Stegostoma tigrinum: one gene and its partner. The protein of the gene in region 2 purifies or fractionates together with the protein of the main gene of each other region. This does not show direct contact. Links are inferred from orthologs where the notes say so. Each region holds a gene or a part of one and is shown on either strand. Other genes may lie near its edges. The genes, in order: sirt6 and usp10.

The links.
Region 1: the proteins of usp10 (region 2) and sirt6 purify together in Homo sapiens (affinity purification with western blotting; 4 studies listed by BioGRID, with this or other methods). This does not show direct contact. The link is inferred for Stegostoma tigrinum from reciprocal best matches to the Homo sapiens genes USP10 and SIRT6.

What each region holds. Positions count from the first base shown.
Region 1 is NC_081383.1:37,836,896-37,847,111, reverse strand, and holds the start of sirt6 (NAD-dependent protein deacetylase sirtuin-6), read left to right. Parts: upstream 1-5,577; 5' UTR 5,578-5,634; coding exon 5,635-5,700; intron 5,701-10,216. UniProt on the Homo sapiens protein: NAD-dependent protein deacetylase, deacylase and mono-ADP-ribosyltransferase that plays an essential role in DNA damage repair, telomere maintenance, metabolic homeostasis, inflammation, tumorigenesis and aging.
Region 2 is NC_081369.1:49,063,861-49,074,089, reverse strand, and holds the start of usp10 (ubiquitin carboxyl-terminal hydrolase 10), read right to left. Parts: upstream 4,595-10,229; 5' UTR 4,504-4,594; coding exon 4,483-4,503; intron 1-4,482. UniProt on the Homo sapiens protein: Hydrolase that can remove conjugated ubiquitin from target proteins such as p53/TP53, RPS2/us5, RPS3/us3, RPS10/eS10, BECN1, SNX3 and CFTR.

The DNA of each region.
Region 1 (10,216 bases), on a different chromosome or scaffold from region 2:
ATTATCCTGGCTCCTCTGAAGAGTTGATTGACCTTCTTGCTGCATTGCTGGACTGTAAACATTGCACTGACCTAGGTGGCAACCTTGAACCAGGCTGGCAAGGTCTGGTGTCATGGCCTCTTCTGCTGGTCCTGGGTGAACAGGAAATCCAACCTCTGCACCACATTTGGCGGCACGGTGGATCAGTGGCTAGCACTGCAGCCTCACAGCGCCAGGGACCTGGGTTCAATTCCAGACTCGGGTAACTGTCTGTGCGGAGTTTGCACATTCTCCCCGTGTCTGCGTGGGTTTTCTCAGGGTGCTCCAGTTTCCTCCCACAGTCCAAAGATGTGCAGGCTAGGTGGATTGGCCGTGCTAAATTGCCTGTAGTGTTCATGGGTGTGTGGGTTATAGGAGGATGGGTCTGGGTGGGATGCCCCAAGAGGCAGTGTGGACTTGTTGGGCCAAAGGGCACGTTTCCACACTGTAGGGAATATAATCTAATCCTCATTGTCCATTGGGACTTCCAGGTTTCTGTCTACAAAGCAGGGTGCTAGTTTCCCCTTGACTGCCAAGTACAGAGCATGTACATGGTCTTCAACCATGCAGGGCAGCTCTGAACTGCCAAAGTTTGATTGGGTTCACAACAGCCTTTCAAATAGGCACTGGTGCCAGAGATGCCAGGGAATTCTGGTATCAGTGAGTTCTTCCAGCAACATCAAGTGAGAAAGGCAGGCTACTATTGGACAATAGCAGCAGCTTAGGGGCTTGGTTAGGGTTAGGCAAATAACGCGTCATACTTGGGACACGTGCATGGGAAATTTCAGTCGACGCAATGGAGAGAAATGCTCCATGAAAGTCATTGAAAATGACAGTCAACATATGGAAAGATTCAGCCCAAAGTTAACGTTGACAAAAGTCTAACCCTAACTTTCTCTCCGCATAAATGATGATACCTGCTGTGAAGCTCCAGTACTTTCTATTTTTATTTCATATCTCCAACATAACACAGTACTTTGCTTTCAGCCAAATGGGACTAGATTAAGATATCTGATCAGATATCTGGAAGATTTAAACTGAAAAGGGTCTGTTTCTGTGCTATACAATTCTCCGTCTCTGTTAGCTCCTCCCACGGACTGTCACTTGGAGAATCAGTGGGCAATCACACAGACATTCCTCAGTTAACCTCAACTTAGCCTTCTGACATTACTATCACCTTCACTAAACTTAAAGACACAACACATAGGGAAACATTAATTTATTAGACACTGCAGTATTTAAATAACAAAAGACAACACAAATTTAGTTGAAGTTTTTCAAAATAAGTGACACAGTTCTATAGGCAAGAAGCCATTAACCTAACAAACACATTCTGGAGACTGGAGAGGTCACACAATGAGTTTCCATCACAAGCTCGCAAAACTGGAATATTTCAACCAAGCAGTTTCAGTATCACAGATTTAAATTTAATAATTGACATGGTGTTCACTACAATACAGTCCTTGACAATCTTTTTCAGACAGTAACTCCTGTACATATCCAGCCTTGTCGTGGACACTTCATTCATTTGCAAATCATTCATTACCTCAGTGATTTCAAATTTCCCGGGCTCCCAGTTAGCTGTCTGTTCCTTTGTTGACAAGTTTGAAACTGTTCTTCTTTGCAGTCTCTCTCTCTCTGTTTTTACCCTTTCAGACTCACTCATTCTTGCCTGCCTACTTCTCCAGCTCCTCTCTTCCTCTTGCATCCCAATTAATTTCCATTTCTCACCCTCCACCAACCATCCACACTCCTGGCAGCATCTTTGTCCTAAGCACTTCTCACACTATAGCTTCTCCCTCCCATCTCACTTTCAGCCTGCAGGCTCCTCAGCTCTTTCCAGCCCCTTTGGACTACTGCATCTATCCCCATTGTCTCTGCCGACCTCTCCCCAATTACCTGACCTATAGAGATCTCCCCCTCCACACATTGTCCGTCACCTCCCAAACTCCTTTCTCACAGCAACTTGGAATTTTTAAACGCAGATTCATCCACACTCCTGTGTGTTTCGAGCATGTTATAAATTCCAGTCAACACACTTTATGACAGGTGCCAAGTCCGAGGAGAGGTTACAGGAGGGATTTAAGAGAATGGTACCAGGAATAAGGAGCTTCAATTTAATGAAGAGGAGTGGGGTTAATTAATTCAGAGGTGATGATCTGAATGTCTCCTTGCATTCTGCCCCTCTCCTCAGCTCCCCTCAGACCATTCCCTGCCAGTTCATCCCCTACATCGCACTCTCTGTCCATTCTCCCTCGTCAGCCTCCCTCCAGGCCTCCCCAGACCTCTCACCACAGCCCTTCCACTTTCTCTCCATTCCCCTGCCCTCAGACCCATTTCCTCTCTATTCCCACCTCCACTTTCCCCAGCTTCCCGTCTCCTTACTCAGCATCCCCTTCCTCAGACCCTCCCCGGCATTGTACGCCCCCAACTCCGACCCTCCCCAGCATTGCAACGCCCCTCCCCCAACCGTCCCCTAACCCTGCCCACACTGCACCCCCCGTCCCTGACCCTTCCCCTCACTGAGCTCCCCACACCGACCTCCCCAGCATTGCAACCCCCCTCCCCCAACCGTTCTCTGCACTGTGCTCCCATGACTCTCCCCTGCATTACACCTCCCTCCCCAATATTCCCCCACACTGCATCTTCCCCCTCCCTCGATATTCACCAGCATGATCCAGTTCTGCCCCCCTCGACCTTCTCTAGCATTTGTTACCCCCAACCCGACCTTCCCCAACATTGTTCCTCTGCCACGGATCTTCCCCAGCATTGTTCCCCGACCTTCCCCAGCATTGTTCCGCCACCATGAATCTTCCCCAGCATTGTTTCCCCACCATCCAATCTTCCCCGGCATTGTTCGCGCAACATGAACCTTCCCCAGCATGATTACCCACCACCCGACCTTCCCCAGCACTGTTACCCTACCCAACCTTCCTCAGCATTGTTCCCCCACCAAGGACCTTCCCCAGCATTGTTTCCCCACCATGGATCTTCCCCAGCATTGTTACCCCCCCACCCAACCTTCCTCAGCATTGTTCCCCCACCAAGGACCTTCCCCAGCATTGTTCCCCCTCCACCCGACCTTCCCCAGCATTGTTCCCCCTCCACCCGACCTTCCCCAGCATTGTTCCCCCAACACGGACCTTCCCCAGCATTGTTACCCCTCCACCCGACCTTCCCCAGCATTGTTCCCCCAACACGGACCTTCCCCAGCATTGTTACCCCTCCACCCGACCTTCCCCAGCATTGTTCCCCCAACACGGACCTTCCCCAGCATTGATCCCCCAACATGGACCTTCCCAAGCATTGTTCCAACCCCACCTTCCGTAGCATTATGCCCCCCACCCAATCTTCCACAGCATTGGCCTCCACCGACCTTCCTCAGCATTGTTCCCCTCCTCGACCCTCCCCAGCATTGCTCCCCTCAGTTCCGTTGCACCCCCGCTTCCCCAGCACTGTTGACCCCCAGCCTCGTTCACCCCCTGCCCCCCCCCCCAGCCTCGTTCACCCCCTGCCCCCCCCCCCAGCCTCGTTCACCCCCTGCCCCCCCCCCCAGCCTCGTTCACCCCCTGCCCCCCCCCCAGCCTCGTTCACCCCCTGCCCTGCCCCGCCCCCCAGCCTCGTTCACCCCCTGCCCCCCCCCCAGCCTCGTTCACCCCCTGCCCCCCCCCCCAGCCTCGTTCACCCCCTGCCCCCCCCCCCCAGCCTCGTTCACCCCCCAGCCTCGTTCACCCCCTGCCCCCCCCCCCCAGCCTCGTTCACCCCACCCAATCTTCCACAGCATTGGCCTCCACCGACCTTCCTCAGCATTGTTCCCCTCCTCGACCCTCCCCAGCATTGCTCCCCTCAGTTCCGTTGCACCCCCGCTTCCCCAGCACTGTTGACCCCCAGCCTCGTTCACCCCCTGCCCCCCCCCCCAGCCTCGTTCACCCCCTGCCCCCCCCCCCCCGCCTCGTTCACCCCCTGCCCCCCCCCCCCCCCCCGCCTCGTTCACCCCCTGCCCCCCCCCCCCCCCCCCGCCTCGTTCACCCCCTGCCCCCCCCCCCCCCGCCTCGTTCACCCCCTGCCCCCCCCCCCGCCTCGTTCACCCCCTGCCCCCCCCCCCCCCGCCTCGTTCACCCCCTGCCCCCCCCCCCGCCTCGTTCACCCCCTGCCCCCCCCCCCCGCCTCGTTCACCCCCTGCCCCGTTCACCCCCTGCCCCCCCCCCCCGCCTCGTTCACCCCCTGCCCCCCCCCCCCCCCCCGCCTCGTTCACCCCCCCACCCCCCCCGCCTCGTTCACCCCCTGCCCCCCCCCCCCCCCCGCCTCGTTCACCCCCTGCCCCCCCCCCCCCCCCCGCCTCGTTCACCCCCTGCCCCCCCCCCCCCGCCTCGTTCACCCCCTGCCCCCCCCCCCGCCTCGTTCACACCCCCTGCCCCCCCCCCCCCCGCCTCGTTCACCCCCTGCCCCCCCCCCGCCTCGTTCACCCCCTGCCCCCCCCCCCCGCCTCGTTCACCCCCTGCCCCGTTCACCCCCTGCCCCCCCCCCCCCGCCTCGTTCACCCCCTGCCCCCCCCCCCCCCCCCGCCTCGTTCACCCCCTGCCCCCCCCCGCCTCGTTCACCCCCTGCCCCCCCCCCCCCCCCGCCTCGTTCACCCCCCTGCCCCCCCCCCCCCCCCCCCGCCTCGTTCACCCCCTGCCCCCCCCCCCCCCCCCCCCGCCTCGTTCACCCCCTGCCCCCCCCCCCCCCCCCCCGCCTCGTTCACCCCCTGCCCCCCCCCCCCCCCCCCCCGCCTCGTTCACCCCCTGCCCCCCCCCCCCCCCCCGCCTCGTTCACCCCCTGCCCCCCCCCCCCCCCCCCGCCTCGTTCACCCCCTGCCCCCCCCCCCCCCCCCCGCCTCGTTCACCCCCTGCCCCCCCCCCCCCCCCCCCCCCGCCTCGTTCACCCCCTGCCCCCCCCCCCCCGCCCCCCCCGCCTCGTTCACCCCCTGCCCCCCCCCCCCCCCCCCCCGCCTCGTTCACCCCCTGCCCCCCCCCCCCCCCCCCCCCGCCTCGTTCACCCCCTGCCCCCCCCCCCCCCCCCCCGCCTCGTTCACCCCCTGCCCCCCCCCGCCTCGTTCACCCCCTGCCCCCCCCCCAGCCTCGTTCACCCCCTGCCCCCCCCCCAGCCTCGTTCACCCCCTGCCCCCCCCCCAGCCTCGTTCACCCCCTGCCCCCCCCCCAGCCTCGTTCACCCCCTGCCCCCCCCCCAGCCTCGTTCACCCCCTGCCCCCCCCCCAGCCTCGTTCACCCCCTGCCCCCCCCCCAGCCTTGTTCACCCCCTGCCTTTTTCACTCCCCCAGCCTTGTGCACACGCGCATTGCTCCCCCTCATGACCTTCCCCAGCATTGCTTCCCTCCAGCACTGTCACCCCACCCCCAGCACTGTTCTCCTCTCGCTCTCGCACCCAGCACCATCCCCGTTTCTCTGTCCGGTCCCTCCTACTCCATGCCCATTCCGACCTGCGCCTCCCACCCGCCTCTCCTCCCCCGAAGCTACCTATCACCTGTTCTGTAGCGCCCTCTGGCCTCCGGGAGGTCCTGCCTGCACGGCCTGGTGACGTCACGCAGGCCCCTGCCCGGGTTGTTGTGCTGGAGCCATGTCCGTGAACTACGCGGCCGGACTGTCTGAGTACGAACACAAGGGCAAGTGTGGCCTTCCGGAGGTAAGAGGCTGTGCCGCTTAGATGTCGTTGCAGGGGGAAAAGGATTCCGGGCCTGTCCTTGGATAGGCTCGCATCCTGGGGAGGCGCCGGGGTCATGAGACCTCGGCGTCCAGCTCCGGACTGGGGCCTTCGTTAGAGACTGTTTGGCCGGGACCCCCAGAGGAACGGGAAGAGGAGGCGAAGATCAGTGAGGGAGGGCAGGCGGGGATGCGGGAGGGGGTGAAGGAGAAAAGGACCGAGGAGATTCCACTGTGTGGGGACCCTCTTAACGTTGGAGGCGGCCGTGGATTGGGAGAGGGAGGTTGCTAGTGATGGTGGACATCACAGATGTCCCTGTAAGGGTTTGGTTTCATTGCTTTATTAATCTGAAAGAGAACGATCTATGTTACATGGATATATATTCTGGAGTACCAAGAGATTAGCAAATGAAATTAGAGTATGTAGTATTGGGGATGGGTGGGAATAAAATAATTTGGATGGAAAATGGCTTAATAGAAGGCTGAAGAGTAAGCAGAGATAATGGGAACTACAGGTGCTGGAGAATCCAAGATAACAAAGTGTGGAGTTGGATGAACACAGCAGGCCAAGCATATTAAGCAGATGTTCACCTACACAACTGCCAACGTGGTATACTGTATCCACTGTACCCGGTGTGGCTACCTCTACATTGTGGAAACCAAGCGGAGTCTTGGGGACCGCTTTGCAGAACACCTCCGCTCAGTTCGCAATAAATAACTGCACCTCCCAGTTGCAAACCATTTTAACTCCCCCTCCCATTCCTCACACAAAATTTCCATCATGGGGCTCCTGCAGTGCCACAATGATGCCAACCGAAGTTTGCAGGAACAGCAACTCATATTCCGCTTGGGAACCCTGCAGCCGGATGGTATCAATGTTGACTTCACAAGCTTCAAAATCTCCCCCTCCCCGACTGCATCCCGAAACCAGCCCAGCTCGTCCCCTCCCCCCACTGCATCACAAAACCAGCCCAGCTCGTTCCCCGCCTCCCTAACCTGTTCTTCCTCTCACCTACCCCTCCTCTCACTTCAAGCCGCACCTCCATTTCCCATCTACCAATCTCATCCCACCTCCTTGACCTGTCTGTCCTTCCTGGACTGACCTATACCCTCCCCACCTATACTCTCCTCTCCACCTATCTTCTCCTCTATCCATCTTCAGTCTGCCTTCCTCCCCCCTCCCTATTTATTTCAGAACCCTCTCCCCATCCCCCTCTCTGATGAAGGGTCTAGGCCCGAAACGTCAGCTTTTGAGCTCCTAAGGTGCTGCTTGGTCTGCTGTGTTCATCCACACTTTGTTATTTGGATATGGGGACCAGTTTCAATGTTTCCAAATTTGCTCATGATGCTGAATGTAATGAAAATGTAAGTTGTGTGAAGCCTTCAAGGGAATTTCGACAATCTAAGCGAACATGCCAGATGGAATATAGTAGAACTTTATGAAAGTATTGAGTTTGATTGAAAAGCTGAAAGGCAGGATGATCATTATGTGATTGGGAAGGAGTGATCTAGGTATCTTTGGTTACTAAGAGCTAGCATGCTGGTGAAACAAGTATTTTAAAAGCAAATAGAATATTAGTCTTCATAACAAATAAACTTAAGGACAAAAGCAAAGTAAAACTAAAAGAACTGCAGATGCTGTAAATCAGGAACAAAAAGAGAAGTTGTTGGAAGCTCAGCAAGTCTAGCAGCATGTGTGAAGAAAAATGAGAGTCATCGTTTTGGGTCCAGTCTGAGGAAGGGCCACTGGACCCAAAACATTAACAATAGTAAAAATGTCTTCCTGCTATTTTATGGAGCCTTGGCATGTACACACCCTGGTTATTGTGTACAGTTCTGTTTGGCTTTTCTACGTAAAGTAAATCCTTCCTTAGATGTGCAATAGAGGTTAACCTGATTAATTGTTGCAATGGTGGGATTGTTTTATGAAGAGAGCCTGCAGAAACAGGATCTTTAGTCCCTAGAGTTTGAAGGGATGAGAGGTGATTTCTTTCAAATTCACAAAATAAATTACAGGGCACGGCATTGTTGCTATAGAGAGGATGCTCCCTCTGCCTGATGAGTCCAAAATCAGAGGATGTTATCTCAAATAGGGGGCAGGCCAAATAAGATTGAGATGAGGAGCACTTTTTTTTCCACTGACAATGTTGGATCTTTGGAATTCTCTTCCCCAGAGTCATTGAGCAGTTTAAAGCAGAAATCGATTTCTGAAAACTGGCATTGTGTGGAAAAGTAACACCTCTGTAGATAATTGGTCATGATTGAGTTGATTGGCAGAGCAGTCTTAGTTGACTGACTGATCTACTCCTGTTCCTCTGTCACATTTCACTTCTGCACTGCAGTTACATTGCAAAGTAACAATGTATTGGTCGCAGTCCGCTATGGAGAGCAGCAAAAAATGCACTCAGTGAAACACTAGTACTGATCTAAAGTGAGATTATTTTAATTTACTGGCACTGGAATGCATGACATGGTGGCAGTGGTTGTTTGTTAGTGAAAACTGAAATATTTTAAATGAATTTTGTGCTGAATTAATTGGAAGAAGAAGTCATCCTACATTTGTACCAGAGTGTGTGGAAAAACTAAATTGTTGTCAGAAAACGGAATGGCTGTAACAGCAACGATATGGGTGGCATTCAAACTTCAATTAAATGTGCCCCATTTGAAGATGCATCTGAGAAATTTGAACGAAAGTGCAGACTGATATTCAGCACCTCTCTAAAGGCACTAGCAAAAATGAAGGAACCTGCAGGCAGGAGAGAAAGGTTAAATTGTTTAATAGTTGAAGATTGAGGATGACAGCAGAAACCCCAACACAATTTTTTTTAGATTTGGCATGTATTTTTATCCGGAGTCAAAACATTGGATTTATCAGTGTGAATTTAAGGCCCGAGACAGAATCTGATGAGCATACTGACAATTTCCTAACAAAACTGAGGTAGGAGATAGGGATAGCCACAGGAGGCTCCTGCACTATCTCAAACAAGTATGCTGTTTTGGAAAATGTAAGCCGTGATGGACTTTCGAGGGAATGTAGCACTGACAACCAGGTTTCTGGTACTGTGACTGGCTGTAATGTAACAAGGGGTATGCCAGGTTCCAAACGATCAACTGTAACAGGACACGTCTCGTCAGAGGCACAGACAGACGATTCGGTGGCCAACAGCAAGACATCAAAATAGTATGTTGCCTCCCTGGAGCCAGGTTCAAAGATATCTCGGACAGGGTACAGAACGTTCTCCAATGGGAACAGGACTAGCTGGATGTCACTATACACTAACGACATAGGAAGAGAAAAGGATGAGATTTTGAGGAGAGAGTATAGGAGGTTAGGCAGGAATTTTAAAAAGTAGGCCCTTGAGGTTGGTAATTTCTAGATTATACTTGATGCCACAAGCTAATGAGTTTCGGAGTAGGATGTTACAGCAGATGAATGTGTGGCTGAGGAGCTGGTAAAGGGGAGAAGGATTCACATTTTTGGATCATTGGAATGTCTTTTGGGGTAGCAGTGACCTGTTTAAGAAGGATGGATTGCACCTAATTTAGAAGGAGAGATTGGCAGGGAGATTTGCTAGAGCTGCTCGGGAGGATTTGAACTAGTTGGTTGTGATGGGGAGGGACTCGGAGATAATGAGGAAAGAGATCAGTCTGAGACTCTAACAGTTATGAAAAGGAGTAAGTCAAACAGACAAGGCAGAGAGGAACAAAGTAGAGAATGAGGTAGGACTGATAAATTCAACTGCATTTTTCTCAATGCAAGAGGCTTAGCACGTAAGGCAGATTAATTCAGGGCATAGTTAGGAACATAAGACAGATATTATAGAAATTAGAGATGTGCCTCAGAGATGGACAGGATTGGCAGTTTAATGTTCCAAGGTATAGATGCTATAGGAACGATAGAAAGAGGGGGGAGGGGTGCAAGAGTGGAGAAGGTGTGGTATCTTTGATTAGGAATAACATCACAGCTGTATTTGGAGAGGATATTCCTGGGATGCGTCCAGGCAAGTTATTTTGGTGCAACTGAGAAATAAGAAAGTGATTATCGCCTTGTTGGGATTGTATTACAGGCCCCCCTAATAGTCAGCAGAAAATTGAGAAGCAAATTTGTGAGGGTACAGAATATTCTCCATAAGGGTAATTGAGGGGTTACGGTGTGGAATTTAACTTTCCAAGTATAGACTAGGACTGTCATAGTGTTAAGGGTTTGGATGGAGAGGAATTTAAGTGTGTACAAGAAAATTTTCTGATTCAGTATGTGGATGTGCATACTAAAGAAGGTGCAAAACTTGACCTACTCTTGGGAAGTTAGGTAGGGCAGGTGACTGAGGTGGCAGCAGGCGAGCACTTTGGGACCAGTGACTATAATTCTGCTAGTTTTAAAATAGTGATGGAAAGGGATAGACCAGATCTAAAAGTTGAAGTTCTAAATTTAAGGAAGGTCAATTGCTTTCAAACGTTAGGTGGGTGTGGACGTTGGCAGGTAAGGGGACGGCTAAAAG
Region 2 (10,229 bases):
ACAGGCTGCTTTATCATACAGGTATCCACAAATGTTGGCATTACAGAAATTATGGCAAGTGTTGTAGGTGCATACTATCCTTAACTTCTTTTAAACTATTAAACTGCTCATGGCACTGCTACAAGTCACTTTGGAGGAAAGTAATACATTGGTAATGGAAAGAATTAGAAACCTTCAACTGCACTCGAATAACACCACTTGGTCAGAACCTAAAAGTTGAGTGAGATACTTAAAATTACAAAATTGAACAGGAAAGTTTGACAGAAGTTGATAACGATGTCCCGAAGCACAACATGAAGCAAGATCTTGCAACAGAGTGTGTAGTTGTTCACAAATTACTGTATATAAACTTGTAAGCAATATTGAATTATCTGGTATTAATAGGACAGTGGTATTCTGAATACAAAATTGGCTAGGGGACGATATGGACTAGCAATAAACAATCATTTTCCAGACTACAGGAATGCATACAGTGGTGCTTGCTACAGTTCGGTTTTAGGGCCGCTGCTCAACTGAAACAAAAGCAATGTTCTGGAATTAAATGGACTGCATTTCAAAGTGGTTCAATGATGGAATGAAACAGTATATGAGGAGGTTAGAAACAGATTTCAGGAAAACAGACTGGTGAATTAGATGGATGTACATCAAACAGAATTTAGCAGAGAAGTGTGAAATAATACAATTCATTAGGAAGAATGAACACAATCAATATATTACATTAACCAACTTAAGGTTGCAAAAAGGGTGAGACACAGGGACAGGTGTATAAGTGAAAATAAGTTCATAAAGTGTTAAAAATGCATGAGCTCGCTGGTATTATCAATTGAGGAAGAGCACACAGGTAAGGCTGTACTAAACATTCATAATAATTCATTACGGATGATACTTCAGAAAGAATGTCATCTCAAAGTGTGAAAACAAGATTTACTAAAATGATTAAATATTTTGTGTGGAGGGTGCGAGGAAAGGGGAAACTTTAAAAATCTTCAGTTACATGAAAAGACAATTTGTCGTCAGAGGAGGCTAAGGGGCAATCTGATACAGGTTTTTAAAATCATTTAACAGTTTTTAATTACAAATAAAGGATAAGTATTCCATTGGCAGAAGAGTGACTAAACAGGGCACTGAGATTTACAATTACATGATATATCAGGTTATTTGTGAGTCAGACAGGGTGGTAGAAATTGAAATTTTCAAAGGGAATTGGTTAAATACTTTTAGAATTCTACCAAGAAGCTCGCTCAGACAATTAGGTCAAGTAGCTACTTCTGTCTGATTCTACAGCCAGAGTTAACAAGCAGTGCTGAAATGACAGCTGCCATCGCTATCCTTGAAGCAGTGACTCCCTTGTGTGGAGTCACTGTCATTCTGGGGCCAACTCTAAGAGGTTGCAAGTTTAGCAACTGTGATGTCAAACTAATCAGCCAGTCATATTGAAGAATGTTATATGTGATTGGTACATACAGAATGAGTACGTTGATGTATGCAGAGTCAGCAAGAAGTTAAGGCAGATTTAAAACACTCAAAACCAATACTTATCATGTAGAAATTTGACCTTTCACAAACAAGCTTGGTTTTTTCAAGGATGAAAGGAGGTATCCAGAAGTAATGATGACTTGGTCATCTGTTAAAAACTCAAGCATATTTCACTGAATGATTTTTAAAAATAACAATATTACTGCACAGAAAAGAAACTTTATATCTGTTCAACTGGCTTCTAAAAATTGCAATCTGCCAGAATAGAAGAGCAGGGAATCAGTGACAAAAACTGCTGGATAATCACACTAACTGTGCATTTGGATACCAGAATTGTCGTCAGCTTCACGTTTATACATATGCTTCCTATATACATTTGCGCCAGAAGTTTTAAATTGGAGGGACTGTCATTTCATCTGTACCAAATACTATAATCTAGGGTAGATCTGTAATGTCAATTTATCTGCTGATTGTTAAAATAGTAAGAAACCAAAAACAGTGGCAACAATCTAGAAAGCATGTGTCATAAAAATAGTTTTTCGTTAAAAAAGCCATACATATTCAAAATTAGACCTTACAATTAATTTCAGTTTTGAACAATGTAGCCTGCAAGTACAACTGTTTGCTGCAACAGCAATAATTTTCAATAATGATCTAAGACAAATCTATGTAAGACAAACGTAAGCAGAAATTTCTCATGGCACTTTAGGTGCTGCATAAATGCAATATTTAGGTGTTGTACAGGTGATTTTGAAAGTCCCCCTTCTATGGATTGTCAATTTTCATTGGGCACTGCAGTTTCTGCATGAAAACAAAACTGGATGAAGTAAATTCATTTAAAATTGAAAATAACTTTTAATAAATAATATTTGGAAAAAAGTATTTTTAAAATTGCAAAAAATCATTGATACCATATTAGAGATGAAACTCCAAACAGACACGTCCAATCTTCAACTATTAATTTTGCATGCGTAAGTTCAATCATAACTAACAACTGAAATTAATAAGTAGTGGGAATGATTAGTGAGATCTTCAGGCTAATAATTATCAGCTCTCTCATTTCAGCCCGTCCCCTTACAGCTAAAAATCCAGACTGGTTAGAATTTATTTATTTGTGTTGAACTATTTGTAAGTGCTTTAAATTCAAACAAGAGCCAAAATAGAGTCCTTTTCAACCAATGGATTTGTTCATAAAGCAGACATTATAAATTAATCTATCAAGACCAATTCAAAACCGTGCAGTTCCTGGCAGAATGAGCTGTCATACTGATCGAACTATCCATGGCAGCTATTTAAGGTGGTGGTCCATACTGTTTGATGCAATAATGTCTTTGCCTGCAGATATTCTTCCTTGACTTGGGCACGCTCTTGTGAAGCCATAGGCTCGACAACACCCCATTCTCATGTTTGGGTTTACCAGCACCCTCCTTTCTTCACCTACAGATGGGTGAAGTCAGCTGTGTCAGATTGTGGCTTTTTATCCCCCCACCCCTCCTGTGTGTTGGTCTCATTGGCTTTTGGTCACCCCTTTACACCATGTGGCCGAACGCACAAAGATATTAGCCCAGAGCAAAATCTTGGTGTATACAGAGAATTGGAATGACCAAATGGCACAGCAAAAGATCAAACAGTATGCATATTCGCACTGATGAATTTCAGTTCTAAATTTTCTCCAAAAATTCAGCATGACTTTTTTAGAATTACAGAAATTTATTGTACAGAGGGAGGTTATTTGATCCAATATGTATCAGCTCCCGACAACTACCCAGCTCACCCGACTAAATTTTTTTGAAATGTTCTGTACGAATAACTAAAACTTAAAATTTAACAGCCAGAAAGCAGTCCAAAGTGCAAGCAGCTAAAAAGTTCAAATACCAAAAAGCTTCATAAAGCAAGCAACTTTTAAAAGTACAGTTGAAAGCAAAACACCAAAATCTATGTTTGCAACATTTAATATGTTCAGTAAATTGTTTCTGCACTCATGATTTTGGTAATTCAGCTGACAATTCTGAATTTAAGGGCTTTTTAAAATTTAAGTTAAATTTGTAGACTCATTGTTCTAATAATGACATACAAAGAAAGAAAATGCTCGTCAGATTTTATGTTAAACATTACAACATAATTGGCAGCTTATCCACACGTGTGATTTATTTGAATAAACCAAGATGAACTGTTCAAATCCCACTCAACGCCGTTACAAAACTTTCTAGATGTTAAAGTGTGCCACAAGTTTGATCAGGCATACAGGTTGAACTATATAATTAGTGAGACTAAAATCTAAGGTGTGATGTGTATACTGTAGCATAGGCAGAAACCAAGGGATTTCGTTCAGAACACGTGCAAAACAGGGGCACCCCCACCCCCAAAATAAAATGGTCAGAATCCACTTCCACCATTCCCGACTGATAAAAGTACATGTTCACAAGTGGATCTTGAAGCATTTTTCCACCCAATTTGCTGTGATAAAACTCAAGGATATACCCTGCCGTCCAAGAGAATCCCTTCCAGGTTAACTGCAGGGGACACAGAGTCCAAGGTGGAATGAATCATCATGCGCCCCTCCCCCACCGCTCATCTCTTTTAATGTTTTCTTGCTGAACCGAACAATTTGGAATGCAGCCGAACTATGGAAGATGGCCTGTAACAGGGCCGCGGCGCATTTCAGATCCAGGCAAAGCGAAACGTGAGGCACCAGGGCGGGCGTGTCTCATTAACGAGATATATCCTTCGGGTAGTCGACAACCTGATAGCATCGTGTGGGGCCCTGGGCTAAAACTCTGCGACCGCAAGTAGTCAGGCTGAGGAAAATACCCTGGGGCCTAAACCTCATGGATTCTCTTGCCTTCTCCGCCTCCCCCCACCCTCCCCCCGCGCTACCACCGCCTCATCCTCGACAGGGAACGAAATCTCTCATCTTAAATCCCCCTCAACCGCAAGGTCGCTTCATTCTCCGCCCAGTCCCCGATGCTCGTCCGCCGCTGCCCTGCCATCCCCGACTTTCCTCACCTTTATATTGTTGCTAGCCATTTTGCTGCTTTTGAATGAGATAACTCATGCTTCCCCGTTTGCCGCCATGTTGTCTGCTCCGCCAGAGGCCGTGCGCCTGCGCGCCCGTGTCCCTGGCACCTCCCCGAGACACCCGCCCCCAACCGTTGCCCTCCCATTGGTCCAACACCTCTGCGCTCTCCTATTGGTCTGACTGTTCAGCTTTCCCCCATTCGTCCCTATGACCCGCGTCTCCTTCTCCATTGGTCCGTCGGCAGCAACGATATTCTTCCATTGGTCTGCCACCTTCACGCTCTCCTATTGGTCTACTAGCTTCGTATTCGCCGTCCTGTTGGTCCGCTCGCGGATGCCGCCGTCCAGCCAATGGCTTACCAGTCAGGCGAATAGTGGCCTCCTGATTGGACAAATCGCGCGCGGCCGGCGAACCCCTTGCTCAACGATTGGCTATAACCAACCCCACTTGATCTTTTCTCCGTGCCTATTGGTCAGCTTGCAACAAGGGTGGAGGAAATGCCGCCTAATAGTTTTCTGTTTAAAAGAGCAATTCAATTTTCAAGTGGTGTCTAGTTTTATTTTGGATTTTGCTTCTGATCTTCGTTGAGGTGTGCAATAATTCGATTTTAGTTCAGGACGGATTGTTTTCAGGTCATTTTGAAACTCATGAGTTTTCAGGTGTCGGCCAGGGTTCCAATTTAGTGAAAGTGACAAACCAATTTGTGCTCATCAACCTCAAAACTAACAGCGAGATAATAACTCGCGAATATATATTTTGTGATGTTGTTTCAGGAATGAATATTTATGCTGAAACATAAGAAGGGCTGTTGGGACACAGTAGTAGCATTCGTACCTGTGGTCCAAATCAGAAGTCTTTAGTTCACCTGAGGGGTTTTGCTCTGAAAGTTAGTGATTTCAAATAAACTTGGACTGTAACCTGGTGTCATGTGACTTCTGGCCTTGTCCACCCCAGTCCAACACTAGCACCTTCATATCATACCTCTGGTCCAGTAGCCCTGAGTTCAAATCCTCCTGCACCACATGTGTGTAATAACATCCCTGAACTGGGTCATTAGAATATATATCGCCACTGAAACGTGCAAGAAACAGCAGGTCTGACGGCGTCTGTAGAGACAGGGTTACTGCTTCAAATCTGAACTGACTCTTCTTCAGAATCTTTTATTCTAAGATACTTCAGTTTGAAATACTGCTTCCGGGACCTTTACATACAACCATGCAAGCAGACGTTTTCTGAAGAACAGTCAAGGCCTGAAACATCAGCCTTCCTGCTCCGCTGATGCTGTTTGGCCTGCTGTGTTCATCCAGCTCTACACCATGTTATCTGAGAGCCTTAATTTGATGTCTTTTCAGAAAAACTGCACCTCCACAACATTACCACTTGATAGCACGAATCTGTCATGCTATCAAAATAACCAATAATTTGGACAAATGTGAGTAATGAAGGAATCTCGGACAGAATTGTTCACTGAATGTGTTCAATAAATTTGCTGTATTCTTTGAAGAGATGACAGACAGAGTTAATGAGTGACATGCTAAAAGTCTTTGATAAAATGCTGCACAATAGACTTGTGGACAAGGTCATAGCCCATTGAATAAATGGATACTAAAACACAGGTACAAAATTGGCTGACTGACACGAAACCAAGAGTAGTAATTGATAGAGAAAACAAGGTGTAGAGCTAGATGAACACAGCAGGCCAAGCAGCATCAGAAGAGCAGGCAATAAATGCTGGCCAGACAGTGATGCCCACGTCCCACAAATTAATCCAAAAAAAAAACTACTCTTAGGCTTCCTTTCTCCAAGAAAAACTGACGGGGCATCTCCAATCTGCTTCGGAACTTAAAGTTGCTGAAACCAACCTTATGAATTATTTTTCTGCACAATCTCAAATGCCTTTGTTTTTGGCCGACGTGTAGAATCCAGAACTGGACAGTTAAGGCCAAATCAGTGCTTTACATTTGTGTATAAAAATTAATATCAAATCAGGTATTAAATGGCAAAGCATGCTTGAGGGGCCTATGGCTTGTTCAAATAATTGAATGTACTCCTTGCTCTCACACTCTATGACCATGCTAATAAAGTCTATGATACTTCATAGATATATTAATCATTCTTTAGTACTATCCTGCCACCTTCAATCATATCAACTACACATGCACCCTTTTAGGATGGTACCTTTTTATATCATATCATCTCCATTTTTTTCCTGTCAAACTGAGACACTTTGTGCTTCTTTTCATTGAGCTTCATGTGCCACCTGTCTGCCCAATCCACTATTTATTTCCTTTTGAAGTTCTACTCCATCTTCTTCATAGTTTACAATATTTCCAAGTTTTGTGTAATTTGTTTTGGAATTGTGCTCTGCAAAATCTATCTACCTCTGCACAGTGGGGTCTAGATCAATAATTTATTTCAGCATGGATCCCGACCCTGACGCAGGAGACCTTTTTCTACAAATCTTTCCCCAACCTAAAATAACCTATCAACTACTACAGAGATAGTTGCTCTTAAAAAGGTGGTGGTGAGCTGCCATCCAACCACTGTGGGTTGACATAATGTCATTAGGGAGGGAATTCCATCAAAAGTTAAGGAACAGCGATATATTTCCAGGTCAGAGTGGTGAGTGGTTTAGTGAGGAAATTAAAGGTGGTGGTTCTGATATATCTGCTGCTCTTGTCCTTCTAGATGGAAATGGTCATGGGTTTAGAACGTGTGTACCTGACGCTATGTGGTGAGTTTCTGTAAATAGTACACACTTCTGCTATTGAGTGTCAATGGTAGAGGAACTGTAAGCTTGCGGATATAGTGCTAATTAAGCAGGCTGCCTTGTCCTGGATGATGTCAAGCTCCTTGTGTATTGTTGGGGCTGCAATCATCCAGGCAAGTGGGGCATTTACCATCATACTCCTGACTTGTGCCTTTAGATAGTGACAGGGTTTGGGGGAATGAGGAGGTGTGTACATTGTCACAGTATTCCAAGCCTCTGACCTGTTCTTGTAGCCACTGTATTCACATGGTGAGTCCAGTTGAGTTTCTGGTCAATGATAACCCCCAGGATGTGACATGGGGAATTCAGTAACGGTAACACACTGAATGTCAAAGGAGGTGAACAGATTGTCTCTTATTGGTGAAGCCCATAGACTGGCATTTTTGTGGCACGAATGTTACTTGCCACTTGTCAGCTCAAACCTGGATATTGTCAAGATCTTGTTGCATGTGAACATGGACTGCTTCAGTATCTGAGGAGTCTGAAATGGTGCTGAACTGTGCAATCATCAGCAAAAATCCCCACTTCTGACATTATGATAGAGACAAGGTCATTGATGAAGCAGCTGAAGATGGTTGGGCCTAGGACACTACCCTGAGGAACTCTTGCAGAGATGTCCTGGTACTGAGATGACTGACCTCAACGACCATGACTATCTTACTATGTGTCAGGTATAACTCTAACAAGTGGAGAGTTTGGCCTAAATTCCCAGTGATTCCAGTTTTGCTAGGGGTCCTTGATGCCACACTTGATCAAATACAACCTTGATGTCAAGGGCTTTAAAACTCTCCTCATCTCTGGAATTCAGTGCTTCTTTCCATGTTTGAACCAAAGCTGTAACAAGGTCAGGAGCTGAGTGGCCCTGGCCAAACCCAAACTGGAAAGATTATAGCTGAGCAGGTGCTACTTGCTAGCACTGTTGATGACACCATCCATCACTTTACTGATGATTGAGAGGAGACTGATGGCGCAGTAACTGGTAGGGTTGGATTTGTCCTGCTTTTTATGCACAGGATGCACTTGGGCAATTTTCCACATTGTCGGGTAGATACCTGTGTTGTAACTGTATTGCAACAACTTGGCTAGGGGAGCGGCAAGCTCTAGAGCACAAGTCTTCAGTACTATTGCTGGAATGTTTTCAGGGCTTGTAAACCTTTACAGTATCCAGTGTCTCCAACCATTTCTTGACTATCAGGTGGAGTCAATCGAATTGGCTAAAGCCTGACGTCTGAAATGCTGGGGACCACTGGAGGAGGCTGACAGAGATCATCCACTCGGCACTTCTGGCTTAAGATTGCTGTGAAAGCTTCAGCCTTATGTTTTGCACTGATGTGCTGTGCTCTTCCACCAATGAGGATGGGGATACTTGTGGAGTCAACTCCTCTAGTGAGTTATTTAATTCTCTACCGCTATTCACAGTTGTAGGATTACAGAGCTTAGATATAATCCATTAGCTGTGGAATCACTTAGCGCTGTCTATCATTTGATGCTTATGCTGTTTGGCATGCAAGTAGTCCTGTCTGTTGGCTTCCCCAGGTTTACATTTCATCTTTAGGTACGCCTGGTTCTGCTCCTGGTATACCGTCCTTGACTCTCTGTTGACTCAGGGTTGATCCCCTGGCTTGATGGTAATGGTTGAATGGGACATATGCCATGCCATGAGGTTACAAATTTTGATGCGGTACAGTTCTGCCGCTGTTGATGGCCCACAGTGCCTCATGGATGCCCAGTCTTGAGTTGCTCTACATCTGTGCAAAATCTGTCCCATTTAGCACAGTGATAGTGCCACACAACACAATGGTAGTTATTCTCAAAGTGAAAGTAGGATTTTGTATCCACAATGACAGCATTGAATATACTTAGCCTCAATTGCCCTCTGCGAAAAAGAATTCTAGACATCCACTACCCATCGATAGAAGTTCTGTCTTTGTTTCCTAACTGGGGAACTCCTTACTCTGACATTATGTCCTCTGGTCCTAGATGCTTTCCCAAAGATAGGTCATGAATGCACCAAGGTTAATCTCTCAAATATTGCTGCTAGTAACCTGGAAAGAAAGACTGCAGGGTTCACAACTCTCATTTGTGGTTTGAGCCAGGATACCCTCTATTTATGGCTGGCTTTCACTTTCTTGGAGCTACTCACATAACAGCAGCTGACCATAAAAGACAGGGAAAATGCTCAGCCAAACTAGGTCCAAACTTTATAACGATCAATTTAATAACATTTTCACACTTTAGGCCAAACTCATGCCAATAGCTGTTATGTTATGTGATCACAGTTACTGCATGATTAAACCTTACTTACAATCCAATCAGATTCCAATCTGACAGGGAATGCAAAATAAGAGTAATATGTAGGTTGTTAAGCAGTTGACATTTCCAGAGGATTTGAAAAGTATTAACAAAAGGCAAATACATATTACTAGGCCTGAATCCTATTTTTTGGGAAGTGCTTGTTTTAACTTGTCACCACTTTCAGACTAAACATACACTGCACTTCTTTTCTTAAAGCAGCCAATTGTGAACCTTTCCATCTCCTTTGACAATCCTCACCTCCAACTTCCCCTTCCTCTTTAAAGTCCACAAATGTATCATCACCATTAAACTACATATTTATTTTTTCTTGACAGTCTGCAACGTCGTTCCTCATTTTTTCCCCCATTCTTATCGCAATGTAAAAGCCATCTAAGAATGAAACCTGAGGGAACTAACACTCCCCGATTCTACGGCCTCCCAAGGGCATACAAACCGGAAGTACCCCTCAGACTAATAGTCTTCCTGCCAGGCATGCCGTCACATAGACTAGCCAAAGAGTTACAAAGGAGACTAAAGCACCTTGTCAGCAAGTCACCCCAAGCAATCCACTCCGCCCAAGAGTCCCCCAATTCCATCAAGGACATCAGAATAGACAACAATGAGACCATGGTATCTTTTGACGTTACTGCCCTATTCACATCAATAGAC